7 linked regions of the Callithrix jacchus genome follow. The protein of the gene in region 1 interacts with the protein of each later gene in a biochemical or structural test. Links are inferred from orthologs where the notes say so. Each region holds a gene or a part of one and is shown in the gene's direction. Other genes may lie near its edges. The genes, in order: ESR1, TRIM24, SAFB, ARNT, NRIP1, PHB2 and FLII.

Region 1 (4,049 bases):
ATAATCTACCTTTCACTAGGTATCATAATAAAAACAATAAAAATGCTTACAGAACCCCTGCAATGCGTTAGTATACGTGATTATTCCTTGTGTAAGTGAATCTTGTTGAGATTTTATGTTCAGTCACTTGAAATTAAATACTTTACATACTAACTAAAATGTGTCCTGCTCTCTGTATTCTGGAGAAGCTTCTCTCAGGCAAATTAACATATTCAAATTATTTTATGGGCTAACTGACAAGTATAGAGAAGATTGAAGACAGTTAAGATCATTTATTTCAAAATGTTTTAAAGCATTGATTATTTCTTTTGGTTTTCCTTCCTTCCCATGACAGTTTTGAGGTGTAGCTTACTTGGCAGACGTCACTCTGTACTGGGTACTGGGACAGAGAGCAATACAATAGCAAGAGAGAGATTCCTCCTCTGCCCCCTCTATCATTCTCACTTCCAGAAAACCAGCCTTTTTCAAGACTTGTAAAGAAGAAAAAGCGAAAATATTTTTAAAAAATCATTGAAAGTACATACTGCATAAACCACAGCAGACATGATGAGATATTAAAATTTCAATGTTATTAAAAAATTTTAATATGATTTTACAGCCCTTTTTCTACTTTAAAATGTGTATCTTAGTGTTAAACAAACAATCAATAACCACATAAATTTAAAAATTGCTGCAGGAAATACCGGACAGTTTATGGAAGGATCATGCGACAGAAATTAAGGACCAAAGAGCGTAAGGAGCTAGACCTGTGCAGGTTACCGAAGTCAAGAACCTAATTAATCAGTAACAGGAAGTGCAGAGCCGGCTTTTGAGTCCATGCCTGAGTAAGAAATTCCCAAATAACACTAACAGAAGACATTTCCTTACCCCTGCTTTTAGTTTAGCTCTAGCTAACTTTGGATTAACAAAATTTATGTGCTGAATGAATGTTTTATTTTTTTTTCCAGCCCCACACGCCTGTCTAGACTTTGAGCTTTATTAGGAATAAAGAGAAAAATCGGCTGGAGGGCGTAAAAAAATTTCAGGCAGATTAACACATGATTTACCTCTTTTTGAACATCCATTTTAGTGGAAGTGCTAAGAAAGTTAGATTCAAGCCGGGCTTGGAGAAAGCAAGGCCACCCCCTCCTCTATGTTTTCAATGAGATTTTCCAATCCTAGTCAAATGGTGGTGCTAGTTCTTTATTTTTGAGTTACTGCATTTCCTAATTTCATGGTCATAACAGCCTCCTGTCTACCGAGTCAGAACGGATTTTACCAAAACTGAAAATGCAGGCTCCATGCTCAGAAGCTCTTTAACAGGCTCGAAAGGTCCATGCTCCTTTCTCCTGCCCATTCTATAGCATAAGAAGACAGTCTCTGAGTGATAATCTTCTCTTCAAGTAGGTACTCCTATTTCTTCTCAATTTATTTTTTCCTTTTTGATATAATGTGCTACTGTTTACAAGCATATTGTAACTTCAGAGCTTACGTCTCATCTTTAAAAAATGTTCATTTTTTTCCTCTTTCTGCTCCAAGGATATTTTGCAAACTTACTGGCAAGTATTCCTAGGATGATAAAATGTGAAATCTAAACTTGGTACAGTGGAAATTCACTTCTAGAATAATATTTAGCTGAGGCAGAGGGCAATCCGACTACCCTGTTCTTAGTACAGCACACACAGGCTGCCTGTCTGCTCCAGATAACATATATCTATCGGATCCAGCACTAGCTAGGAGACACCGTGTTGTTGAGCTGTGTTAGAATTTTAAAAGTTCTTAATTAGAGAAATCTCAGACTAGCAGGAACACATTACCTGTTTTCTTAATCTTTGGAGCCATAACTTATATGAGTTTGAACTAAAAGATGTGAATGATCCATTATTTGTTTCCTAAAGGCAGTCAAGTTTTCTGAAAAGCTACACGTCCAGCAGCACAAGAATGAACGATTCTGTCTTGAAATTGGCCTCTGATTTTAAGCAAGTTCTTTTGAGTCCTGGTGTCCCATTTTCTCGGTTCCTTTTTGCCTCTCAAAGGCACACGCATAATGACTTCACCACATATAGCAGTGGGCTACTCGGGTAATGATGTGGCAGTCACAAGACAGGGCAGAATACTTTCATTTTGGTCAGAGGCATGCCACATGTCTTAGGAAATGCTCGTTGAACTGTAAGTTTCATGCTTTGTCAAGAAGATAACCAGTATTCTCTCAAGTCCATAGGAGCCGACGTGATTAAAACATTTTAAAGCAATTTACTTGATAGAAGGGTTGGGCTTTATCAGGACTTGTGATCATGGCAATGGTTCCTGCTTAAAGGTGCCAGATTTTTAACGCCTTTATGTGTCAGATCTAATAGGCTTACAGAGCAACTCTATGTATATGAGGCTGCTGGGAAACTCATCCAGTTTTGAATGTGGTATATACATATTTTAATGTTGAGAGTAAACTTAGGAAGACCAGGCAGAAGTGTTTGAACTGAATTCTGAAATGTACAGAGAATTTAAATTGGGTGAGAATGTTTGAGGTCCACGGTTCAGGGTTCATTTCGATACCATAAAATCCCCTCCTAGTTCTTAAAAGCAAATGTTTTCTTTGATTTTGTTAATGTCCTGTGAAGACCGCCGACTGGGCTGTGAAATGCATGCAGATAATGCCGTAGCGGTTGGATAAAATAATCTAGAATGTTAGATTTTCAAGGAAATTAGAAATAAAAACAATGTAGGTAAAAGGCATGATGTAGGAAAACAGCAGAATTTTCATTAAGAACACAAGGGTCGTATTTACAAGCAGAAGATTTTTCTTGGACACTTGGAGATATTTGTTTTGTTTTATTGCTCATGACAGTCAAGGAAAGGAATACAATGTTTGGGTCTTAAACTTGCAGCAAGAAAAGTCAAACTATCTTTTGTTTCTGAGAACTCTTGTCTTTGTTCAGTATTGGGTTTAGAGCTAGCTACCACCCACCTTCCCTTCAAACACTCACTCTAAACCTCCACACAGCATAACGATGTACATCAGGTGTCTGCCAAACAAGTTCACATGGTTGTCTGCAGGTCTTCTCTTAGTCTAGCTGCACTCATTTATCCTAGTTGGTCAGAACAGTTGCTTGAGTTGAGGGCCTGGTGGTTGAGTTTACTTTGCTTTGAATAGGGAACAGCTCTGCTTCATGACTCCAGATTGGCTATTTGGAAAAAAGGGCAAGGAAAAGAGTGACCCAGCTCTCAGTAGACCATCCACACTGCTGGTAAAAAATAAAATAAACAAAATAAAATAAACAAAATAAACTCATAGCATAGGATTCATCTATGGCAGTGGCGACATGGTCCTGTCCATCTGCCTCTATCAGGATAGAGTCTCCATTGTTGATCTCTGAGAAAGAGGTGCTATCTGTGAAGCCTCCTGCATATTATCAAATAAAGTGCTCTTTTCAAAGGCAGGCACTGTACAGGTAAGACTGATGATGTGTGCCTGCCTTCTGGGCAACATCTCATTAGACTTCCTCTGAATCATTCCCACTGGACACAACAGCAAAAACATGCACATCAGTGAGTTTTATGGTTCTATCTAAGGCATATAACATTTTTCTCACTGAAAGTCTGTGATTGTTTCAGAGAATGAAGGGGCTTACCCTACTCACCTGCCCCTTAAAATATTCTGCTAGAAAGCTGATACCTCTGCTCAGGTTTTCCACAGCACATCACTCTTCGGTGAGAATTCTATTAAGTGGTTCAATTCAAATCCATGGAAAAATGACTGAGTACCCAGTCATAGCTCCCACCACTCTCTAGCTGTGCAATTAGAGGCAGATTATGTCACCTCCATCATTAAATTTCTCATCTGCAAAGTTGGAGTACTAACAGTAGCTACCAGAGAGAATTATATGGAGTAAATGAGATTAAACCACTCATTAAACTCCTTGCAGTCTCTAAACATTAGAAACTCAATATGAGGAAGTTATTTCTACTCTAAGCCTATCACAGTGCCTGTTATTCAATACATGTTGGTTGAATAAATGAAATAATTCAAGATCAGCACCAAAGCTGCTAGGAGTTTATGAACATCTGATCAT
Region 2 (3,500 bases), on another chromosome or scaffold:
CTGCCATACAGTGAGACTGAAATTTTTTTCATATATTTTAACCTAACAATATATTATGATAGTGCAGAAACAGATAATGAGATTTCAGCTATTAAGCCAGACAAAGAGATTTTTTCAAATATCAAACAATGACACTGTTTACCAAATTTTTTATAATAGAGTTTTATAAAAACATGTTATGGTTTTATTATTTTTAAATGAATTAATAATTTTAAAAATTATTTTTATTTCTAATATAAATTTTAGTGATTAGAATTTAAATGAACAAAAGCTGTTTGGGGATATATATTTCAGAGTGTAAAAGGGCTCATGAGACCAGAGAATTCCTTGACAATTCTGCAAAAATAGCCTTACAAAATGTGATATTTCACCACCTATCTGAAAAACTTTTTCCCTTAACCTTTTCTTTTTAATCAGGTTCTTTAGTAATCGAGGATAAAGAGAGCCAGCCACAAATGCCTAAGCAGAATCCTGTCGTGGAACAGAATTCACAGCCACCAAGTGGTTTATCATCAAACCAGTTATCCAAGTTTCCAACACAGATCAGCCTAGCTCAATTACGGCTCCAGCATATGCAGCAACAGGTAATGGCTCAGAGGCAACAGGTGCAACGGAGGCCAGCACCTGTGGGTTTACCAAACCCTAGAATGCAGGGGCCCATCCAGCAACCTTCCATCTCTCATCAGGTAAATTTGGAAGCAGGCCTGTCCTCACTTAGATAATTATAGTATAATTGTGCTGAGCAGCTCAAAATAATAAAGACATCCATTTTCCATCATCTAAATATCTGCATTTATAAAAATTTATCACAATAAGGATCCCTGACTTAATGCCTAGTTTTTATCCCTACTTAAAAAGAATTAAATGATTTAGCTGATAAATCTATTTTCATCTACCTACGCTTCATCGTCTTCAAATTAAAGCAGAGGATAAATGTTTATATTCCTAAATAACCCAAGCCCTGTGATTGATGGGAAAAGCTGTGTACCTGTAATTCCTATATTAGTGCTTCAGAATGATGACTACATTAAGAATCTGTCCTCTGTGAGGATGCAGTGTTTAGAAAACCACATTACATCTTAGAAACTAGGGCAGAATGAAATAGAAAAGGGAAAAAGTGTGGTTAATTATAATCTACCTTTTTCAAACTTTATTTCTGAGCAAATATACTATTTACCATTTTAATTTTTACTGCGATATTTTTTTGTAGTGGGGAGAGGGGCAAAGTCTGACTCTGTCACTCAGGTGGGAGTGCAGTGGCACGATCTCAGCTCACTACAACTTCTGCCTCCCGGGTTGAAGCAATTCTCATGCCTTAGCCTCCTCTGAGTAGCTGGGATTACAGGTGTGCACCACCATGCCTGGCTAATTTTTATATTTGTAGTATGTTGGTCAGGCTGGTCTCAAACTCCTGACCTTAAGTGACTAGCCCGTCTCAGCCTCCCAAAGTGCTGGGATTACAAGGATGAACCACTGTGCCTGGCCTCAGTCCAGTTTTTGAAGATAAAATGTATATATATATTTTTTTTGTTTGTTTTTAAAAGACAGGGTTTCATCATGTTGACCAGGCTGGTCTTGAATTCCTGACCTCAGGTGATCCGCCCGACTTGGCCTCCAAAAGTGCTGAGATTACAGGCGTGAGCCACTGCACCCTGCCCTTTTTTTGTTTCGTTTTGTTTTATTTTGTTAGTTTAACTCAGGTTACATGTGGGCAGACTTAGATTTAATACAAGTTTAGTAAGGAATTTAAAGTCTAATTTATAAAATTTGTGTGTTGTTTCAGTTACATCATTTATTTATATACTCTTTTTTTTTTTTTTTTTTTTTTTTCCTTTTGAGGTGGAGTTTTGCTCTTGCTGCCCAGGCTGGAGTGCAGTGATGCCATCTCGGCTCACCACAGCCTCTGCCTCCCAGGTTCAAGCGATTCTCCTGCCTCAGCCTCCTGAGTAGCTGGGATTACAGGCATGTGCCACACCCAGCTAATTTTGTATTTTTCGTGGACGGGGTTTCTCCACATTGGTCAGGCTGGTCTTGAACTCCCAACCTCAGGTGATCTGCCCGCCTCAGCCTCCCAAAGTGCTGGGATTACAGGCATGAGCCACCATGCCCGGCTGTGTATATTCTTTTTCTGCAAAGAATTTGAAGTGATTTACAGTATAGGATACAAATGAAATTAAGCAGAGTTTACTAAAAGAGTCAAAGTATGCAGACATAGGCTAAGAATTCTCATACTGAAAAAGACAACTCAGCTCAGAACGTCCTGCCAACCAAAGCAAAAAGGAAACAAGAATAATAAAATGAAAACATACCAATTAATTAGGGAGAGAAAGTTTTAATAGTATTTTGCTAGCACTAAGAGGAATGGTTCTTTATGAAAAAGCAATTAAATGGCATAATGCAATTTTTTTGGTAGAAATTTAAAAAAATAGAAATGGTCTTTCTTTATATGGGACTCATACTTTAATCCTCAGTAAAAGTTGTGGGCATTTGTAGATCCAGAATGTGTTACATGGTGTATGTAAAGGTCTGAGGTAATGTATTTGAGGTTTATAATGATTTGACTAATAATCCTAATAATTGGACTAAGAAGGTATGTAAAATCCAAGGGAATATTAGCATGGCTGTTTAAAACTTCGTTTCAAGCCATAGTCTTAAAAAAATTAAGTAGCAAGCAATGTAAAAGATCTTTGAGTGTTCCATGGGAAGATAATTTTATACTTTATATACTAGGAGTATATCTAGCAGAGTAGAAATTTTGTTAAGAAAATTGAAGGCAGAATGACATATTTTAGATAGACTGCAAAGATGCCTAAAATTTTTCTGAAGCTAGATAATGGAAATGAGAAAATATTAGAATGCCCAGTGCTAAGCACTTGCAAGTATTAATATTTACCTTCTAAATATTTAGTAGTTGATTGATAAAAGGAATGAACCCATCATTTGAATTCATTGCCTTTTCACTAAGAAGTCAAGATCCGGCTGGGCACGGTGGCTCATGCCTATAATCCCAGGACTTTGGGAGACTTGAGGTTGAGGATCACTTGGCTCCAGGAGTTGGAGACCAGCCTAGGCAACATAGGGAGACCCCTCCCCCCATCCCCATCTCAGAAAAAATTAGCTAGGTGAGGTGGTAGCACATGCTTGTAGTTCCAGCTATCTTGTAGGACTGAGATAAGAGGGATTGCTTGAGCCTGGCAGGTCAAGGCTGCAGTGAACCATGATCCAGCCCAGTGAGAGAGCAAAACGCTGTCTTAAAAAAATTAACTGAGGCAGTTAGTAGACATTATATGAAAATAGTTATATAAGCAGTGACAAAAGGAAGTGACTTGAGCCTTTAGCCTGATTTTCTCAGAAATTTTCTTTTGATCTTATTTCAGTCTCTATAATTTAGTGCTATCATCTGTACAGTCTCTATTATATAACCTAATTTTCACATTTAGAACAAAGTACTCTTCGCATACTGCAGTTTTTATATCACATACTATTCTTTTTCTGTTGGT
Region 3 (3,500 bases), on another chromosome or scaffold:
TGAGAAAATACTCGACATTTTGGGGGAAACTTGTAAATCTGAGCCAGTAAAAGAAGAAAGTTCCGAGCTGGAGCAGCCATTTGCACAGGACACAAGTAGCGTGGGGCCAGACAGAAAGCTTGCGGAGGAAGAGGACCTATTTGACAGCGCCCATCCGGAAGAGGGTGATTTAGATTTGGCCAGCGAGTCAACAGCACACGCTCAGTCGAGCAAGGCAGACAGCCTGTTAGCGGTAGTGAAAAGGGAGCCCGTGGAGCAGCCAGGCGATGGCGAGAGGACGGACTGTGAACCCGTAGGGCTAGAGCCAGCAGTTGAGCAGAGTAGTGCGGCCTCCGAGCTCGCGGAGGCCTCTAGCGAGGAGCTCGCGGAAGCGCCCACGGAAGCCCCAAGCCCAGAAGCCAGAGATAGCAAAGAAGACGGGAGGAAGTTTGATTTTGAAGCTTGTAATGAAGTTCCTCCGGCTCCTAAAGAGTCCTCAACCAGTGAGGGCGCTGATCAGAAAATGAGGTTTGTTTTTTCTCAGTTTTAGACCAGACGCTATCTCCTTTTCATTGGTCATTTAATGACACACATAAGCTGTTTTTTCTGCAATTGGCCAGCCAGACTGACGAAATTGTAGATTTGCTTCTAAAGAATGTTTTATTTCTCTTTGTGTATTTTACACTGATTACATAATCTTTTTTCTTTTCTCAACCTATCATGGTTGTGTTCTTTAATTCCTCCTAATTACCTTTAGCCCAGCAGAATTAATTAACTCCTGTGGGTCTGAAATCTTATGGTTAGGTCAGATTTGCAATACAAGTTTGTCGGGGTTTCATTTTTTCAGAACTAAATTTCGGGTAGGTATGCAACCTCAGCACGAATTTTATGGTTTTGAGTTTGTTTCTGCCATGCTGCTTCCTTGCAGAATGACATTGTCTTTTGTCTCTAGTTCTCCGGAAGATGACTCGGATACAAAAAGGCTTTCCAAAGAGGAAAAAGGTAGGTCACCCTGGTGACACCAGTCCCTTGGAGCATATATGGCCTAGACAGTGGCAGGTGTTTGATTCTGGTTCATCGCACACCGCGGTCCTTACCCAAGAGACTCCTGAGACTTGTGCATCCTCCTTCTCTGCTGTTAACTCTACAGGTTCTGGGTTATAGGAGGCAAGCCAGATCCTAAGAATTAATAGGTTGATTCGTGCAGACCCTTCTTTCAGAGTGTGTTGGGAGCACATTCATCCTGTAACCTTTCATTAAAGCCATTAACTGAGAAATGATTTTACCCTACCAAATTCCTTCTTGATCAGTGTTCTAAAGGAGCTAAAACGTGGGATAGATACAAAGCCATCGATGGAGACAGAGAAATGGGATGCGTTGTCGACATTGAGGTTGGCTGTTTTGCTACGTGGCCACAGTAGTTCCTCCTGTAATTAAGCGATTGCTGACTTTCTTAGGAAACCTCACATGGTCCCAACAGCCCAATTCAGTATTGTGATGGGCCCTGTGGCAGTGCTGCTGGGCCTGGTGTCGCAACTGGAGGGTCTTGGTGAGGACAGTGGTCAGGCCGACGGCCCCATTTGGTTTTTAGTGCTGTCACTGCCTTGGGAAAAGTGGAAACCATGTCAGGTTTGGAAAGGTTGTGTCTAAGTCTTGAGATCTTGTGGGTTTTTGGCTTTTGACTAGAACTTTCTTTTGAAATAGGTCGCAGCAGTTGTGGTAGAAATTTCTGGGTTAGTGGACTCTCTTCTACAACCAGAGCTACAGATTTGAAGAATCTTTTCAGCAAATATGGGAAGGTAAGTGCCAGAGCTTTTCTGGAGAAGATGCTTTGAGACCAGTGTTGTGGCCTTTACATGCAGATCCTCCTCCCCTCAGTGAGTTCTTAGGAAGGTACCAGGAGCTTACGCTTGCTAATGGCTGGAGAGGGTCTGCCCCTCCATGGCTAGAGGTGAGAGTGGTGTGGAAGCTTCCAGAGCCCACATCTCTGCTGTATTTCTCCCCTTCTCTGCACGCTTGCCCCCTTCCCTGTGATGGCTTGTGGATCCGTTTCTCTGTCCTTAGGACATCATACTCAGGCTGGGCAGCCAGGATAGGCAGGTGGGGATGCTAGTTGGCATGGCTGAGAGGCAGTGCTGTTCTTAGGACAGTGTTTGTGGTGCTGTAACTCAGAATTCAAGAACAAGGACCCTAGAGTCTGATGGGGGGGGTCCCTGACCATGGGGGTGTTGGCGTCCATTGACTGAACCTCACCTCAGCAGCTGGGGGCTCTCAAAGTTGCTGCCTCAGTTCACCTCCGGAGGCAGTTCTAGCCGCCTCTTGTCTGCAACACCTGCCTTTCTCAAACCCATGAAGGTGGAGCTGATGGTACCAGCTCCGCACTCCCAGTGCCCAGCGCGGCCGCCTGGCCCTCCCTGTGCTTTCTCCCTCCCCTCCCCTCAATGCTTCCCAGAATTGCCTCCCAGATAGCCTCCTGCATCCAGGGCTCCTCATCTCTCTCACATTCAGTTTCGGGACAGTCAAAGGAAGGAGTCCAGTCCTTTGTTTTGCACAGTGAGGCTTCATTCAACACGTTGCAGTATAGAAAACCAAGTGTTTTCCCCAATTACTGACTTTGAAGAACTTAAAAGAGGATCAAACTAAGTATGTCATTATTACGGACATAACTAAGAGCTCCGTGGGCCTCAGTGATCCAAGGCGTGTGGCCGGCAATGCCTGCGCCACATTTCCCCCGCTAGAGCTCCTTTCCTGACTCCACGGTGGCCCTTGGCAGGTGGGTGCTCAGTGGGAAGTGTTGCCCTAGAGACTGCAGTGTCTTGGGTACATTGCTGGCCTGATGTGGGTTAAGTAAAGGATCAGACCCCTCTGAGAATGTCCTCTGGGGCTGGGATTCCATGTGGCACGATGAGTGTGAATACCACCTACGGCCACTGGCTCCTTCGGGGCTTCTCCTGAGCTGTGGCGTCTTCTGCTATCAAAGGGCAAGCCTAAGTGCAGCCTGCTGGAGTTGAGAGAACCAAGTGGCGTGGAAAGACTGCCACTTTAAACCTGGGAGGTCACTGATAGGACGGGTCTGAGTTCAGCGCATGGCCTGCAGACCTGTCTTTGTGTCACTCTGTCTGTGGTGAAGTCTTTTTCTCTTTTTTTTTTTTTTTTTTTCCCATGTTGCATCACTTCGTAATTTACCGTCTACGTAGCATAACTTTATATTTGGAATCATTTCCTCACGAGTTTTAGACCATATTAAAGGAACACTGGCAGAACCCTGTTTCATTTCTCTTTCCTCTGTTCCCCTACACTGCCCTCCTAGTCCCCTTGAGGAACTAGATGAGCAATTAGAATTGGCCAGAGGTCCTTGGAGGAGTAACAGCGAAACAGCGGCATTAGTAGCATTAGTCTCCCCAGTCTAACACTGTGGGACCCCCAGTGAGGAGGCTTTCCTGTGGGCTTTTCATATTGCCATGCCCCGTTCAGGGTCTGAGCCATATTTGCCCGCTTTCCTTTGAGGTGGTAGGCGCCAA
Region 4 (4,041 bases), on another chromosome or scaffold:
GCCTCAAAAAACAAAAAGGAAACAAAAAAACTCCTCATTGTGTCCCTATCACTGACCAAAGGAAGTTAGCCACTCTGCAAATACTTTCTTCATCCATTGCCTCCAGTTTTTGCTGTTGCTATCTCCCATACCAAACCGTTAACACCCGGATCCTTTTATATTACAAATTCCATAGCAGGCATTCAAAAATTAGTCACTGCCGGGCACGGTGGCTCACGCCTGTAATCCCAGCACTTTGGGAGACCGAGGCGGGCGGATCACGAGGTCAAGATATCGAAACCATCCTGGCCAACATGGCAAAACCCCGTATCCACTAAAAATACAAAAATTAGCTGGGAGTGGTGTCGCGGGCCTGTAGTCCCAGTTACTGGGGAGGCTGAGGCAGGAGAATTGCTTGAACCCGGGAGGCGGAGGTTGCGGCGAGCCGAGATCGCGCCACTGCACTCCAACCTGGCGCCTGGCGACAGAGTGAGACTCTGTTTCAAAAAAAAAAATAAGTCATTTAACTTTTTTCACCAAGGACAAAAGTCTTTAAAAGGGGGAAAAAACTGGAAAGGATTACAAATCACCATATGAAGTTTAAGTATTAGAGCACCTACAGGGGATTTACAAGATAAATTGTTTGCAGGGCAACCACTCAGACGAATCCACCAGCAAGCGAAGGTTTTTAGTAAAATACCTATTTTTTTTTTTTTTGAAACGGAGTTTCACTCTTGTTGCCCAGGCTGGAATGCTGAGGCACAAACTTGGCTCATTGCAACCTCCGCCTCCCAGGTTCAAGCTTTTCTTCTGCCTCAGCCTCCCAAATAGCTGGGATTACAGGCATGCGCCAATTTTGTATTTTTAATAGAAACGGGGTTTCGTCATATTGGCCAGGCTGGTTTCGAACCCCTGACCTTAGATGATCCACCAGCCTCGGCCTCCCAAAGTACTGGGATTACAGGCGCGAGCCACCTCACCGGGCCTAAAATACCCGTTTTAATTGTATTTCAATGACATCACTTGGTCATTGACCTCTTACGCAAGGAGGGCGGGGTTAGGAAGACAGCTGGACTTCTTCCTCGCCCTCCCTCCCGTGGACTGGCTGGCGCAGTGACTAGCCCTGCCCTTAGTCGATTTGGCATTTTCAGTGGTCAGTTTTTTCCTAGGAGGCTGGCCGTGTGTTGACTCCGCCCACCGTACAGGCGGGGTCTCTCCGCTACAGAGGCTGGGATGGTGGGGGTTGCTGAAGCCGCCATCTTGGATTCCGCGGTAGCGGAGGCAGCGGTTAGGCGCCGCTTCTGGGGAGTGGCCTTTCTCTCCCCCTCCCTCCCGGTTCGGTGGCGGTGGCTCCTCCCACTGGGGGGGGTGGCGCGGCGGCGGTGGCATCCACGGCCATGGCGGCGACTACTGCCAACCCCGGTGAGGAGACGGAGGACTGGGGCGCCTCTAAAGGGGAGGGGCTGAAGGGGCTGACAACTGAGGAGACCCAGGACTGAGGGGACGGAGCTGGAGCTGAAGGCGCCGGGGCGGGGCAGGGCCGCGAGGGGACAGTGGGGGAGCGGTGACCCGGGGAGGGGCCTGACCCTGAGTACTTGGGTAGACTCGAGGTGGAGGGAGCGAGGGAGTTGGGGGCTCCCTGTCCTGAGCTCCGCTGGAGCTGCGGCCGGTGCGGGGCTGGCCCCCCCTCGCTTCTCGGGCGGCGTCTGGTCTGTGATGTGGTCCTCTCTTAACCCTCTGCTCGCTGGAGCCGCTTGATGCCGAAAACTGTAGGCAGAGCGGCTCGGTTTGCTTTAAGGATAGTTTGGATTTAGGGCTAGCTGGACCATATTGCTCTTTAGTTGAGGTGTTGCTTCCAAACATTTAAAGGTTTAGAATTTAATTAAAAAAATTAAAAATGGACATTATTTGATATATACGACGTTTCTTTAGGCTGTTACCTCCCACCCGCAACCCCGGACTATGCTTTGAAACTTAGGTCTTGTTTTAAGAAGGCCTGTAGTGTCTTTGCCTGCTGAGGGCAGGGGTTTGTATAATGGTTGTGGTTCCGGACAGGTCTTTGGTCCACGGCCCCAGGTTTAAATCTTGTTAGGCCCGGGTCGATGCAATCTCCAAACTCTTTCAGAAAAGTTTGATTCCACACCGTTTCTCAGTTTCAAATAATAACCAAATATCAAAAAGATCTCACCTTTCTTGTCTAAGAGATGGAGTAGGCTTTAGTGTAGGTCTAGAGAGATGAGATCTTCAAATTACTAGTCCCAGCCCTCTTTCCTCTATGTTACAGTTATTTCTCCTTAGAAGGTATTTCATTTTAGGGGCCTAGTTCATCTCGCTGACCTTGGTCATTTTTGCAAAATAAAGTCTATCCTTTCCCAGAAACCAGTATATTTGATAGCCTTAAAAAAAAAAAAAAAGCCTTGAGGGGTGTGTGTGTGTGTGTGTGTGTGTGTGTCTGTTGTGGGGTTGGGGGGTGGGCAGAGAATTTCTTGAAAATACAACAGTGGGAGTGATTCCCCCATCCCCACGTTGAAATTTAAGTTAGATTTGTTTTTCATGTTACTGAAAGGTGGTATTATTTTGTGATACCCAAATTTTGATAGGACAGTTGAATCACTGAAATTTCTTTTTCACCATGTTTCTGGGAACAGCTGTTTTAAGAAATGGTTAATTTGTTACATGTCATCTTTTAAAAATCTTTACATTTTTTTTTAAAGGAAAGGGAGGTAAAATTAATGGCAAAAATTACATTGCAGGAAGTGCTGAGTGATGGAATAAAACTGTAAAACAGGAAAAATACCGTTAACGGCAAACCTGACCTTGTAGTAAAATAACCTATCCGTGAACTATGGAGTAAATAAACAAGATTTTTAACTGATCACACATTGCAAAATACTTATATAATCCTAGTTAAATTGCAAAGCATTTCTCATTAAAAAGTGGCCCGGGTAAACAAGTTTTAGTTCTTATGTCAGAAGCTTTTTTCCAGCTGTGTGGGTGGGGTTGCTATATTTTGTTTTGTTTTTTAAACACCAGCAACCAGAATGACAGCCTCTTGACCGTATTTTCGTAAGCTGATCAATATCAGCTTAAATCTCAGCAGAAAGAGAGAGAGAGAGAGAGAGAGAGAGAGAGAGAGTGTGTGTGTGTGTGTGTGTGTGTGTGTGTGTGTCAAGAGCACACAGAATCCTTGTTAATGAAACAGTTTTTTTTTTTCTCTTACTGTGCTTTGGCTGCCTTGCTTCTGCAATTTTTAGATCCTTTCTTTTTTCTTTTCTCCTCTATTCTTTTTGACACAGGGTCTTGCTCCTTGTTCTGTCACGCAGGCGAGAGTGCAGTGGCAAGATCACTGCTCATGGTAGCCTCCACCTCTGGGGCTCAAGTGATCCTCTCACCTCAGTCCTTAACCTCTCACCTGAATAGCTGGCACTGCAGGTGCCTTGCCACTATGCCCACTTAATTTTTAAATTTTTTTTGTAGAGACAGATGTCTTACTATGTTGCCCAGGCTGTTCTTGATCTCCTGGTCTCAAGCAAGACTTGTCTCAGTATGTCAAAGTTGGGAATACAGATGTGAGACACTTTGCCTGGCCAGATTTCTTTTTTGATGTTGAAAAATTCTGTCTCTTCTAACTTATTGATCCCATGTTCAGTTCAAACAAATCAAAAGATGTATTTTCTTTTTTTTTTCTCCCTTTGTACTTTTATATCAAGAGGAAGAGATCATAGATACATTGTGGATTTTTTTTTTTTTTTTTTTAAATAGAGATGGGGTTTCACCCTGTTATCCAGGATGGTCTTGAACTCGACCTCATGATCCACCTGCCTCAGCCTTCCAAAGTGCTGGGATTACAGGTGTGAGCCCTCATGCCCAGCCTACATTGTGGATTTTTTCAGCAGTCTGTTGCATTTTGGGAAATGAGATTAATGAATGGAGGGACATTATGTGGAAATGTACTGTGCTCAGTGAAAAGAAAGTAAATGGTTTTCAGGTCAGAATTCTTTGCTACATTGTCATACCTTATTTCCTTAGAGCCGTTTTAAGGACCAGGGACATCATGAGTTT
Region 5 (3,500 bases), on another chromosome or scaffold:
GGCAAATCTTTTTAAAATAGTGGCATTGGGATCTTAAGAAACTCTTTTCTCACCTCTTTATACAATTGAAATTTATTTAATTGTTGCTGCCTCCTTTCTATAGCTTTTTCTTTGGGTATTGTTTTTATCATTTCAATCAATTTAACAATTTGATGCAATCAGATAATTCTTTCCTAAAGTTTGACTTAGAGGTTAGCATTTTACCCAAAAAGCTACAGGGTAGTCTCTAAATTAGAATTTATCTTTTCAATTCCATAGGGACCAAGGTATTTGTTGGTAGAACTGAAGAGATCTAATAACCAGAACAAAATGTTCTGGCTTCTTGAAAAACAATCTTCATGGAATTTATTCCAGCTTTTCTTCCAAAGGTGTAATGGCCCCCTTCCTTAGGTCAATTTTGACACTTCTCTATCAAGTTTTCAGAAATGTAATGAGTTCTTGCTTCTTCTGTTGTATATGTGTTAGTGATAGGGGATTGTTCAGTATCTTCTTAGATAATATCATTGGAATATTTTTCAAACTGTGACTAAAATGTCTTTGGCATTTTCCATTTTATGCCCTCCCTGTCTTCTGTATCTGTAAGGAATGGACGTGACATTAAGACTTTTCCATAGAACACATGAGTAAGGATTAAATAACAAACTATATGAAATCCTTGATAGCCCTGAACAAGCATCTAAAGGGCATCTAAAGAATTATTCTACTCCATCTTTAATAAGTCATGGTAAAAACTATGGGTAGGTAAGTTTATGACTGTATTTTAATGTTTAGGAATATCATTAAGATTGTCACACTTTGAACAGGCTCACAAAATAATCTTCAACTTGTTAGTACTTTGATTTTTTTTGAAAAACAGAAATTCTAAAAATCACTTATGGGATATCTGGTGTTTGGGGGATGATGTCTGAAGTGAATCTGTTCTGTTGGCCTCAACCCCACATCAGACTCATCGGAGTCTGCATCTCTTTTTCTTTTTCTGCACATCTACTTTTGTTTCTTCCTAAGTGACCAGTAATGTAGGAAGCAACTTTTAGCTCCCCTATAGAGCTATAAACCTGTAAAGGAGACTTAACATTCACATTAATTTGCAGAAAGGTGCTTATGAAAATTCAGAGACTTGGCAGGCTTTGGAAGACGTTTATATAACATTAAAGAATGCTCTCTTCTCTAAATGATTTGATCATTTTAACAGTATAGATTAACCCACAGGATTTCTAGTAGAGATTTTCATTTGAATAGAATGGCAATAAAACAAATTACTAAGGTGACTAATGATATGTATATATAAACTTACAAATGCCATATTATTTTGCTTGTAGGTATCATGACATGATTCTAGTTCTGCACCTCCTTAACTATTCTTATTTTTATTTTTTTTAGAACACTGATATTTGCATTTAATGGGGAATAAAAGATGAAGAAGGAAAAAGAATATATTCACTAAGGATTATATCTGCTTACTGCTACAGACCTATGTTTTAAGGAATTATCCTCCTTTTTGCTTAGAAGTTCATCAGCTCTGTGGTCAGACTGCATTTATCTTGTCATTGCCAAAAGAAATCCTCATCAGAATGTAAGAGTATGTCTCTCTCTCAGTGCTATGGAAGGTGATAAACTGATACTCAGTTATTAAAGTTACATCTCACCGCAGAAAACCATTCTTCAAAGTGAATAGAAACCAAGCCCTTGTGAACACTTCTATTGAACATGACTCATGGAGAAGAGCTTGGCTCTGATGTGCACCAGGATTCTATTGTTTTAACTTACCTAGAAGGATTACTAATGCATCAGGCAGCAGGGGGATCAGGTACTGCCATTGACAAAAAGTCTGCTGGGCATAATGAAGAGGATCAGAACTTTAACATTTCTGGCAGTGCATTTCCCACCTGTCAAAGTAATTGTCCAGTTCTCAATACACACACATATCAGGGATCTGGCATGCTGCATCTCAAAAAAGCCAGACTGTTGCAGTCTTCCGAGGACTGGAATGCAGCAAAGCGGAAGAGGCTGTCTGATTCTATCGTAAATTTAAACGTAAAGAAGGAAGCTTTGCTGGCTGGCATGGTTGACAATGTGCCTAAAGGCAAACAGGATAGCACATTACTGGCCTCTTTGCTTCAGTCATTCAGCTCTAGGCTGCAGACTGTTGCTCTGTCACAACAAATTAGGCAGAGCCTCAAGGAGCAAGGATATGCCCTCAGTCATGATTCTTTAAAAGTGGAGAAGGATTTAAGGTGCTATGGTGTTGCATCAAGTCACTTAAAAACTTTGTTGAAGAAAAGTAAAGTTAAAGATCAAAAGACTGACACGAATCTTCCTGACGTGACTAAAAACCTAATCAGAGATAGGTTTGCCGAGTCTCCTCATCATGTTGGACAAAGTGGAACAAAGGTCATGAGTGAACCATTGTCATGTGCTGCAAGATTACAGGCTGTTGCAAGCATGGTGGAAAAAAGGGCTAGTCCTGCCACCTCACCTAAACCTAGTGTTGCTTGTAGCCAACTGGCATTACTTCTTTCAAGTGAAGCCCATTTGCAGCAGTATTCTCGAGAACATGCTTTAAAAACACAAAATGCAAATCAAGCTGCAAGTGAAAGACTTGCTGCTATGGCCAGATTGCAAGAAAATGGCCAGAAGGATGTTGGCAATTTCCAGCTCTCAAAAGGAATGTCAAGCCATCTTAATGGTCAGGCAAGAACATCATCAAGCAAACTGATGGCTAGCAAAAGTAATGCTGCAACATTTCAAAATCCAATGGGTATCATTCCTTCTTCCCCTAAAAATGCAGGTTATAAGAACTCACTAGAAAGAAACAATGTAAAACAAGCTCCTAACAATAGTTTGCTTTTACATCTTCTTAAAAGCCAGACTATACCTAAGCCAGTGAATGGACATAGTCACAGTGAGAGAGGAAGCATTTTTGAGGAAAGTAGTACTCCTACAACTATTGATGAATATTCAGATAACAATCCTAGTTTTACAGATGACAGCAGTGGTGATGAAAGTTCTTACTCCAACTGCGTTCCCATAGACTTGTCTTGCAAACACCGAGTTGAAAAATCAGAATCTGACCAACCTGTTTCTTTGGATAACTTTACTCAATCCTTGCTGAACACTTGGGATCCAAAAGTCCCAGATGTAGATATTAAAGAAGATCAAGATACCTCAAAGAATTCTAAGCTAAACTCACACCAGAAAGTAACACTTCTTCAATTGCTACTTGGCCATAAGAATGAAGAAAATGTAGAAAAAAACGCCAGCCCTCAGGGAGTACACAATGAGGTAACCAAGTTCAATACACAGAATTATTCAAGGACTTCTGTGATAGAAAGCCCCAGTACAAATCGGACTACTCCAGTGAGCACTCCACCATTACTTACATCAACCAAAGCGGAGTCTCCCATCAATCTCTCTCAACACTCTCTGGTTATTAAATGGAATTCCCCACCATATGCCTGCAATACTCCATCTGAAAAGCTAACAAATACTACATCTAACCA
Region 6 (4,145 bases), on another chromosome or scaffold:
ATGCAGGCAGATCACTTAAGGTCAGGAGTTCAAGACCAGCCTGGGCAACATGGTGAAACCCCGTCTACTAAAAATACAAAAACTAGCTGCGCATGGTGGCACACACCTGTAGTCTCAGCTACTTGGGAGGCTGAGGTAGAAGGATGGCTTGAGCCCAGGAGATGGAGGAGACTGCACGACTGCACTCCAGCCTGGGTGACAGAGCAAGACCCTGCCTCAAAAAAAAAAAAAATACCCGCACTCTGGGAGGCCGAGGCGGACAGATCACGAGATCAGCTCCCAAGTAGCTGAGACTACAGGTGTGTGCCACCATGCCCAGCTAGTTTTTGTATTTTTAGTAGACGGGGTTTCACCATGTTGCCCAGGCTGGTCTTGAACTCCTGACCTTAAGTGATCTGCCTGCGTCAGCCTCCTAAAGTGCTGGTATTACAGGTGTGAGTCACCATGTCCCACCCTCATGCCAATCTTAAAACTGGGAGTAACCCCTCTTCATTTTACTTTACTTTTTTATTAAATTGCCTCTTGCATCATTAGAGACCAGAGTGGCCAACATAGTGAAACCACGTCTCTACTAAAAACACAAAAAAGTTAGCCTGGTGTGATGGTGGTGTGCGCCTATACTCTCAGCTACTCAGGAGGTTAAGGCAGGAGAATCGCTTGAACCGGGAAGGTGGAGGTTGCAGTTAGCCGAGATCGCGCCACTGCACTCCAGCCTAGGCGACAGAGCGAGACTCCGTCTCGAAAAAAAAATGAGTACTACCATCCCAGGATATCAAATCAACAGACAGACAGCCAAGCCACCTTTCTCCAAAAACATTTTTCACCCCTTTCTGCTTTCTCTATCCACTCCGAGCCCCTCACCCTCATTCCACGGAGTCCCAACTTGCGATTTACCAGTTCTCCACTTCCTTTCCTAAACTACCTTGACTGTCTCCAGACTGGCCCCTTCCAGCACCACAATAAGCCTACGGCCTCCGATCTTGTTTCCTGCCCCGACTCGGGGCCGCTTGGGGGCCACAGCATCCCAGTCCTCCAACTGCTCCCCACAGCTTCGCTCACGAGGCTTGAATCCACCACTGGGCGCGGCCATCTTGCAACCAGACCGGAAGTTGCGCTAACGCTCTTAAAGGAGAACCCCGCGGCTTTTAATCACAAATTTCCTTCCGGCTGCCATTTTGAAAGTGGGCTTGGAAATGGCGATGACTTACTGTCTTGCGCTGCCCTCCCTGAGAGGGCAGCCTTCCAGAAAGGGGCGGGACTTCCGGATACGCGATTCCTGTGCGCGAAGTTCGGGTCCGTAGAGGGCTCAGGGGGAGGGTTTCGAAGGGAGCGCACTTCCGGTGCCCTTTCTTTCCCCAGCATTAAGGGTCCGAACCCTCGTGTGAAGGGTGCAGTACCTAAGCTGGAGTCGGGTAGAGGAGGGCCGGCACCCCCTTCTCACTTCTGGTGCCGCCAGCCTCAAGATTAGACATGGCCCAGAACTTGAAGGACTTGGCGGGACGGCTGCCCGCCGGGCCCCGGGGCATGGGCACCGCGCTGAAGCTGCTGCTGGGGGCTGGCGCCGTGGCCTATGGTGTCCGGGAATCCGTGTTCACCGGTGAGCAACCTTCGCCCGCTCGCCGGACCCTTCCAGTCCCTCCCGCAAACCCCTTGCCGTGTTTTACCCGGTCCCCGCGCCCCACCGGAGTCTAGCACTTACTCTGAGCAGCGGCCTGGCCTGATCACCACCCCTCTCCCCACAGTGGAAGGCGGGCACAGAGCAATCTTCTTCAATCGGATCGGTGGAGTGCAGCAGGACACTATCCTGGCCGAGGGCCTTCACTTCAGGTAATGGCGGCCAGAGCCAACTGACCCTGACCTTTCACCCTTGACGCCGACCCAGCAGTGGCTGTAGTCGGACGTGCAACAGGATTCAGCGCTGCTCTTTTCCCTCCTCATCCCCACTCCCAGGACAGTGGGTGCTGCGCGAACCTCCAGCAGTACATAAACTGTTGCTTTCCAGACGGACAAGAGAATCTCTCCTTGTCTGTGGTCATGGGGAGGAGCAGGCCAAAAAACACGTGGTGAGGGGAAACCAGGCAAAGCTAGTGAAACTGCGGTCTCTCTTTTTTTTCTCTCCCCGCCCCCCTCTTGAGAGGGAGTAGGGAGTCTTGCTCCATCGCCCAGGCTGGAGTGCAGTGGTGCGATCTCTGCTCACTGCAACCTCCGCCCCCTGGGTTCAAGTGATTCTCCTGCCTCAGCCTCACGAGTAGGTGGGATTACAGGTGCCCACCACCACACCCGGCTAATTTTTGTATTTTAGTAGAGACGGGGTTTCACTATGTAGGTCAAGTTGGTCTCGAACTTCTGACCTCAAATGATCTGCCGGCCTCAGCCTCCTAAAATATTGGGATTGTAGGCGTGAGCCACTGCAGCCTCTTAATACGTATCCCTGTCCCCTCCAGGATCCCCTGGTTCCAGTACCCCATTATCTATGACATTCGGGCCAGACCTCGAAAAATCTCCTCCCCTACAGGCTCCAAAGGTAGGTCTGAGCACTTGGTAATCCCATGGCAGGTAGGATAATCAAAGAATTGTATCTGCTGTTACATGCACTAGTACACTCTGTTCTGGAGAAGTTCGTCTCCATTCTTGACTAGGTCACCTGTTCTTCTAGACCATACATAGAAGCTGTGCTTTGAGTTCCCCAGACCTCTTCCTCCTACACACACACACACACACACACTCACACACTGAGTTAGGTAGCTCACCAGTAATCTGTAATGTACTTCTTTGTACTATACCTAGTACGGGTCACTTATTCATTTACTTGACTGGGCACTGGGAATAAAGGATTCATAGAACACACTCTTGTCCCCAAATCCTTACAGGAAACATGATTATGGTACAGCATAAAAGCACCCACTTTAGCAGTTGCACAGAGTACAGAGGGGAAAAGAGGGGTCAGCTCTGCTAGTGACAGGGTTGCAGTTCAATTCACAGTAGGTGAAGATGCATTTCACCTGTGCTGTGTCACGTCTTCCTTGTCAGCCTGATTAACTCTCCTCCCCCTAGGGTAGTGCCATGCTGTACATCATTGCTCAGGGCATAGAGGGAGGCACATGAAGGACAAAGTGCTTGGGAAAGGGTGTTTGGCCTTGAACAGCCACTGCTGACCTCAATCTCAGACCTGCAGATGGTGAATATCTCCCTGCGAGTGCTGTCTCGACCCAATGCTCAGGAGCTTCCTAGCATGTACCAGCGCCTAGGGCTAGACTACGAGGAACGAGTGTTGCCGTCCATTGTCAACGAGGTGCTCAAGAGTGTGGTGGCCAAGTTCAATGCCTCACAGCTGATCACCCAGCGCGCCCAGGTCTGACTTCCACCACCGTCTGCATGGTGTCAGCCTTTCCCTCCTAGGTCCGGGGTATTGGGAACTAGGAAAGGCAGCTTATTAGAAAAGGATTGTCACCCTACTGCCATTTCCACCTAAAAGCTGTGCTAATTGCCCCTGTGAAATAAGGAGAGCCAGTGTTAGAACTCGATAGCACTTGGCGTTAGGAAGCATGGAGGGAAATGTCCCAGTCTTGGCTTTTCCTGCACCTCTTTCAGCAGATAGGCATATGTTACAGGTTTGCCCAACAGGAAGCTAATGCAATTCGTATTGTATTGGGGAGAGTGAAGGATTAGGGGTCACTGTGAGCTGGAGCGGTCCTGTCATCTCTCTAAGGTGTCTCATCTGTCACATGAAAAGATTGAATCAAGTCCCTTCCAACTCAGATATTGTGGTGAGGCACTGAGGAAGGGTTGATGATTTTTCTGCCATTCTCAGGAGATCTGTTGTTAAGATGGTCACACAACACAACTTTCCTTTCAGTTCTCCAGTCCCCTCAAACCACCCTGCCCTTTCCCTCCTCACCCCCCACCCAGGTATCCCTGTTGATCCGCCGGGAACTGACAGAGAGGGCCAAGGACTTCAGCCTCATCCTGGATGATGTAGCCATCACAGAGCTGAGCTTTAGCCGAGAGTACACAGCTGCTGTAGAAGCCAAACAAGTGGGTGAGTCGCAAGAGCAGTGGGGCGAGGGCTTCCGAGGTGCAGGAGGAGGAAAGACTCCATGAAGGGGCTCCTGACCCAGGACCGGGTCTACCTGACTCTCTCCCAC
Region 7 (4,196 bases), on another chromosome or scaffold:
AGGGTATGCCCCGCCCCCCAGCCAACTGACACGCTCCCTCGGGGCGGGACTCTCTGACGCAGTCTGGATTTAAAGGTGCAGGGCTGCATTCGGAGCCCGCGACCGGGTATTGTGACAGGCAGCCTTCTTAGACGCCTGTGCGTTGTAATGTGAGCGCCGAGTGTGAAGGAAGCTGTCTGGGCCCCCTTTACTTCCGGGGGCCGAGGCACATCTAACCTCTTAGATCACCTCTGCGAGTGTGTCTTGGTGGCTTCATTCTTAACCTGTGGGCCTGCGGGGCACACAGTGTGGTGAAAGCGCCTACCCCTGCCACCTGTTCCGTGCGACCTTGTGTGGGCCGTTCTCCACATGGGCCTCAGTTTTTCTCCTGTAAAATGGGGACACCAGACCCCCTCCTCCCCTGCGAATGGTGGCTAGTCATATAACAGCTGTGGCTCATGTTTTAGGGGCCTGCTATGTGTCAGCCAGGGTAAGCCCCTGCGAACAGCAGGGACCAAGACGGATGCTTCTCTTCTAGACCCTCCCTTTGGGGGACACGAGCGTAAGGGTGCTGACACAAAGTGGGAATAATAACCTGGCACACAGAATAAAACAAAACAAAACGGAGTAATAACCTGTCACTCACTGAGCGCCTGCTGTATGCTGCGAGCTACACTTGCATTCTTTGTTCATTTGCTTATGGCGACAAACTTAGGAAGCATTTTACAAATGAGGAAACTGGGCCGGGCACAGTGGCTCACACCTGTCATCCCAGCAGTCTGAGAGACTGAGACGGGAGGATCACTTGAGGCCAGGCGTTCAAGACCAGCCTGGGCAACATAGTAAGACCCCCATGTCTACCAAAAATAAAAATAAATTTAGCCAGGTGTGGTGGTGTTCTCCCAGCTAGTTGAGAGGCTGAGCCCAGGGGTTCCAGGCTGTAATGAGCTATGATCACGCCACTGCACTCCAGCCTGGGCGGCAGGGCAAGACCCTGTGTCAACAAAATAAAAACAACGCATGAGGAAACTACATCCAGAGCAGGAGAACTAGGACCCGAGGACCCAGGTGTCTCACTACCACCGGTCAGCCAAGTGCAAGCACTTGAGGTCAGGGCCAGCTTCGTCTGCTACAGCAGCACAGGGGACCATGCCTGGACCAGCGGCCTTGAAGGCCCCTGCCCTGGGACTCTGGGAATTTAAGCCTGGAGATTGCGGAAGCCTCCAGCTCCAGCACAGGGGGCGCCGGGGCAACTTGATGGGTCTGCAGCCCCCGAAAAGACGGAGAAACTGAGGCCCTAAGAGGCCTAAAGCCTACACTTCCCGGCGGAATGTGGCGGGCGCGGGCGGGTTAAAGGGGCGGGGCCGGCGTTGGCCCAGCCCGCGGCTCCCCTCACCCCTCGCCCGGGCGTCCCCCTAGCCCGGCCCGGCCAGGCAGCGAGTGCGGCGCCATGGAGGCCACCGGGGTGCTGCCGTTCGTGCGCGGTGTGGACCTCAGCGGCAACGACTTCAAGGTAAGCCGGGACGGGCGCGGGACGGGCCTCCCTGCAAGCCTTCTCTTCCGCCCAGCCAGCCTGGCTCTCGCTTCCTGTCCCGCCCGGCTCCGGGTCCTGCGCGTACCCGGGACTGCGGCCGGGGCGGGGTGGGTCTCTTCCCTGGTCACGAATGGACCTCCGAGGACTCTTCCCGGTGCCTGTACCGGGAGACCGAGGCTCGATAGGCCCAGGACGGACGCTTGGGCTCGGAGTCTCGCCGGGGACCTGGCCGGTAGCCCCAACCCCACGTTCGTGTTCCCCGCCTGGGCTGGACGGTGGCCTAGGGGTCGGCGAGGCTCCCCGCCCTTCTGGGGTCACACGCTCAAGCCAGGCCCTGGCTCAGGGATGGCAGCCCGGCTGCCCAGGGGCGGGTGTGGAACCGACTCATCACTGCCCTCTCTTCGTCACCGCCACCCGCCATCCTGTGTGATCCTGATCAGATCACTTCCCCTCTCAGAGCCCGGGCTTTCTCAGCCGGTGAAGGGGCTTCAGAGTCGCCTTCTTGGACGCAAGGGGTGTAATGAGATTTATTGGTGTGGAGAGTGTCAGGCCGGCGTGCCAGGTGCTGGGTGGCAGTTGTCTGAGCAGCTACTGGACTGAGAAAGACAAGGCACGGCAGCTCAGCCCTCCGCAGCCAGTGGGGAGAGAGGTGGTTCCAGGGCTCCGAATGAAGCGGGCAATGCCCAACCGAAGGGGAAGCAGAGAAAGAGGGGAGGGGAGAGCTGGCTGGAGGGTCAGCCTCACCTTCAGGGTGGGTGACCGGCAGGGTCTGGCTGAGGTGTCGGTCTGGGGCTGGGGCCAAGGAGGCAGGTTTTTCCTGAGTTTACCTGCTTGTGTACACACCTTTGACCCCGAGTACAGGTGGCCACACCACTTTTCCCTGTCCCCATCCCCACCACCCTTACCTGGGGTCTCTGTTCCTCTTCATTGTGCGGGGAGAGTCTGAGTCACCAGCTGGGAATGTGGCCCTGGGGGGAAAGGAACACCAGCCGAGGGCACGGGAAGGCACGTGCTGCCCCAGACTTGGTGCCACAGCGCTGGAGATGCCAAAGTGGGTGTTCACAAGGGTGGGGGGGAGTGCAGTGATGTGGGGTGGGGGGCCATGGTCTCCCTAAGCAAGGTTTTCGCCCTGACCATGAATTGCCTGTGTGCTGATGGTAGGGTGAGGACACAGGTGGGGCCTTCGCAAAGGCTTGAAGCAGGGAGCATCCACCCCAGGCAGCCAGTCAGAGCATGGAATGCTGGCTGGAGGAATTTGAGCGGAGCTGCCCACAAAGCCAGGTGCTGGGCTCTCACCTGAAACAAGCCAGTTTTGTCCTGGTCCTCCTGGGGCCCAGAGTCCAGTAGCAGAGACAGATCTTAGGCCAATACTTTTGTCACAGTGAAAGGGAGGCTTTTATTAGTCCCATTCTATGGGTGAAGAAATTGAGGCACAGTGATGAAATGACCTGTCTGTGTTCTCTCAGCTGGTGGGAGTTGGTTCTGTTAGTCCCCAGAGGCTCCTGTGGGCAGTGGGAGCCAGAGAAGGTGGTGAGCAGGGGCTCTGTATCCCAGGCCAGCTTCACCATCACATCCTTCCCCCAGGGTGGCTACTTCCCTGAGAATGTCAAGGCCATGACCAGCCTGCGATGGCTGAAGCTGAACCGCACTGGCCTCTGCTACCTGCCTGAGGAGCTGGCCGCCCTGCAGAAGCTGGTAAGGGGCTTTGGGCAGGCAGGGAGGGTCCCTATGGATGAGCCAGATGGGCAGAGCTTGTGGAGAAGGGAGACAAATTCTCCAGAGAGAGGAAGAACACTGACAGCTATGAGCAAAGCCGGCAGAAAGAGAGTGGACACCCTGTCCAGGAACGTATGCAAAAAGAGGACAGGTCTGTGAGGGAGGGAGGCTGCAGGGGGAATTGGGCCTGTGTGGCTGAGGCCTTCCTGGATGGTGCAGAGTTGTGGAGGTAGGTGGGGACTCTGGACACCCCACGCACCCTGCTGAGCCTGTGCTTCCCATCCTGGCCCAGGAACACTTGTCTGTGAGCCACAACAACCTGACCACGCTTCATGGGGAGCTGTCCAGCCTGCCGTCACTGCGCGTGAGTGCTGGCCAGGAGGCCACTGGGCTTGGGGTAGAGGCAAGTGTCCAGCCAGGGATGTGAAGCCTGGGCCAGACACCAGGCTGGGCCAGCATCTCTGCCCACTTCCATGTGGCAGGTGTTACAAGAGGTGTCATTTGTTAGAGGTTACAGCAGTGCCCTGTGTAAAGTAACCCATGTGGGTCAGAGAATTAGACTGGGAATAAGGTAAAGAAATCCAAAATCTTGACACCTGGGCTTGGTGGCTCACGCCTGTAATTCCAGCACTTTGGGAGACAGGCAGGTGGATCACTTGAGGCCAGGAGTTTGAGACCATCCTGTACATCACAGTAAAACCCCGTCTGTACTAAAAATACAAAAATTAGCCTGGCATGGTGGTACGTGCCTGTAATCCCAGCTACTCAGGAGGCTGAGGCAGGAGAATTGCTTGAACCTGGGAGGCAGAGGTTGCAGTGAGCCAAGATTGTGCCACTGCACTCCAGCCTGGGCAACAGAGCGAGACTCCATCTCAAAAAAAAAAAAAAAAAAAAGAAATCCAAAATCTTACCACCCGTTACGAACAGTAACTACAATAATAATAACCAATACAGGCTGAACCATGTT

What was found.
Region 2: the proteins of ESR1 (region 1) and TRIM24 form a complex in vitro, tested with the Homo sapiens proteins (4 studies listed by BioGRID). The link is inferred for Callithrix jacchus from reciprocal best matches to the Homo sapiens genes ESR1 and TRIM24.
Region 3: the proteins of ESR1 (region 1) and SAFB form a complex in vitro, tested with the Homo sapiens proteins (2 studies listed by BioGRID). The link is inferred for Callithrix jacchus from reciprocal best matches to the Homo sapiens genes ESR1 and SAFB.
Region 4: the proteins of ESR1 (region 1) and ARNT form a complex in vitro, tested with the Homo sapiens proteins (2 studies listed by BioGRID). The link is inferred for Callithrix jacchus from reciprocal best matches to the Homo sapiens genes ESR1 and ARNT.
Region 5: the proteins of ESR1 (region 1) and NRIP1 form a complex in vitro, tested with the Homo sapiens proteins (4 studies listed by BioGRID, with this or other methods). The link is inferred for Callithrix jacchus from reciprocal best matches to the Homo sapiens genes ESR1 and NRIP1.
Region 6: the proteins of ESR1 (region 1) and PHB2 form a complex in vitro, tested with the Homo sapiens proteins (3 studies listed by BioGRID). The link is inferred for Callithrix jacchus from reciprocal best matches to the Homo sapiens genes ESR1 and PHB2.
Region 7: the proteins of ESR1 (region 1) and FLII form a complex in vitro, tested with the Homo sapiens proteins (2 studies listed by BioGRID). The link is inferred for Callithrix jacchus from reciprocal best matches to the Homo sapiens genes ESR1 and FLII.

What each region holds. Positions count from the first base shown.
Region 1 is NC_133505.1:158,537,427-158,541,475, forward strand, and holds the start of ESR1 (estrogen receptor), read left to right. Parts: upstream 1-1,249; 5' UTR 1,250-1,382; intron 1,383-4,049.
Region 2 is NC_133512.1:108,786,538-108,790,037, reverse strand, and holds part of TRIM24 (transcription intermediary factor 1-alpha), read left to right. Parts: intron 1-417; coding exon 418-686; intron 687-3,500. UniProt on the Homo sapiens protein: Transcriptional coactivator that interacts with numerous nuclear receptors and coactivators and modulates the transcription of target genes.
Region 3 is NC_133523.1:5,347,249-5,350,748, forward strand, and holds part of SAFB (scaffold attachment factor B1), read left to right. Parts: coding exon 1-507; intron 508-931; coding exon 932-981; intron 982-1,683; coding exon 1,684-1,778; intron 1,779-3,486; coding exon 3,487-3,500. UniProt on the Homo sapiens protein: Binds to scaffold/matrix attachment region (S/MAR) DNA and forms a molecular assembly point to allow the formation of a 'transcriptosomal' complex (consisting of SR proteins and RNA polymerase II) coupling transcription and RNA processing.
Region 4 is NC_133519.1:10,774,372-10,778,412, reverse strand, and holds the start of ARNT (aryl hydrocarbon receptor nuclear translocator), read left to right. Parts: upstream 1-1,241; 5' UTR 1,242-1,376; coding exon 1,377-1,401; intron 1,402-1,565; exon of another isoform or gene 1,566-1,669; intron 1,670-4,041. UniProt on the Homo sapiens protein: Required for activity of the AHR. Upon ligand binding, AHR translocates into the nucleus, where it heterodimerizes with ARNT and induces transcription by binding to xenobiotic response elements (XRE).
Region 5 is NC_133522.1:21,972,342-21,975,841, reverse strand, and holds part of NRIP1 (nuclear receptor-interacting protein 1), read left to right. Parts: intron 1-1,380; 5' UTR 1,381-1,707; coding exon 1,708-3,500. UniProt on the Homo sapiens protein: Modulates transcriptional activation by steroid receptors such as NR3C1, NR3C2 and ESR1. Also modulates transcriptional repression by nuclear hormone receptors.
Region 6 is NC_133510.1:21,236,024-21,240,168, reverse strand, and holds the start of PHB2 (prohibitin-2), read left to right. Parts: upstream 1-1,345; 5' UTR 1,346-1,470; coding exon 1,471-1,597; intron 1,598-1,699; exon of another isoform or gene 1,700-1,742; coding exon 1,743-1,827; exon of another isoform or gene 1,828-1,835; intron 1,836-2,444; coding exon 2,445-2,524; intron 2,525-3,167; coding exon 3,168-3,352; intron 3,353-3,909; coding exon 3,910-4,039; intron 4,040-4,145. Other genes in the region: EMG1 (ribosomal RNA small subunit methyltransferase NEP1), read right to left, coding at 923-1,090.
Region 7 is NC_133506.1:82,688,214-82,692,409, reverse strand, and holds the start of FLII (protein flightless-1 homolog), read left to right. Parts: upstream 1-1,396; 5' UTR 1,397-1,429; coding exon 1,430-1,492; exon of another isoform or gene 1,493-1,745; intron 1,746-2,674; exon of another isoform or gene 2,675-2,746; coding exon of another isoform or gene 2,747-2,794; intron 2,795-3,097; coding exon 3,098-3,208; intron 3,209-3,521; coding exon 3,522-3,593; intron 3,594-4,196. UniProt on the Homo sapiens protein: Is a regulator of actin polymerization, required for proper myofibril organization and regulation of the length of sarcomeric thin filaments. It also plays a role in the assembly of cardiomyocyte cell adhesion complexes.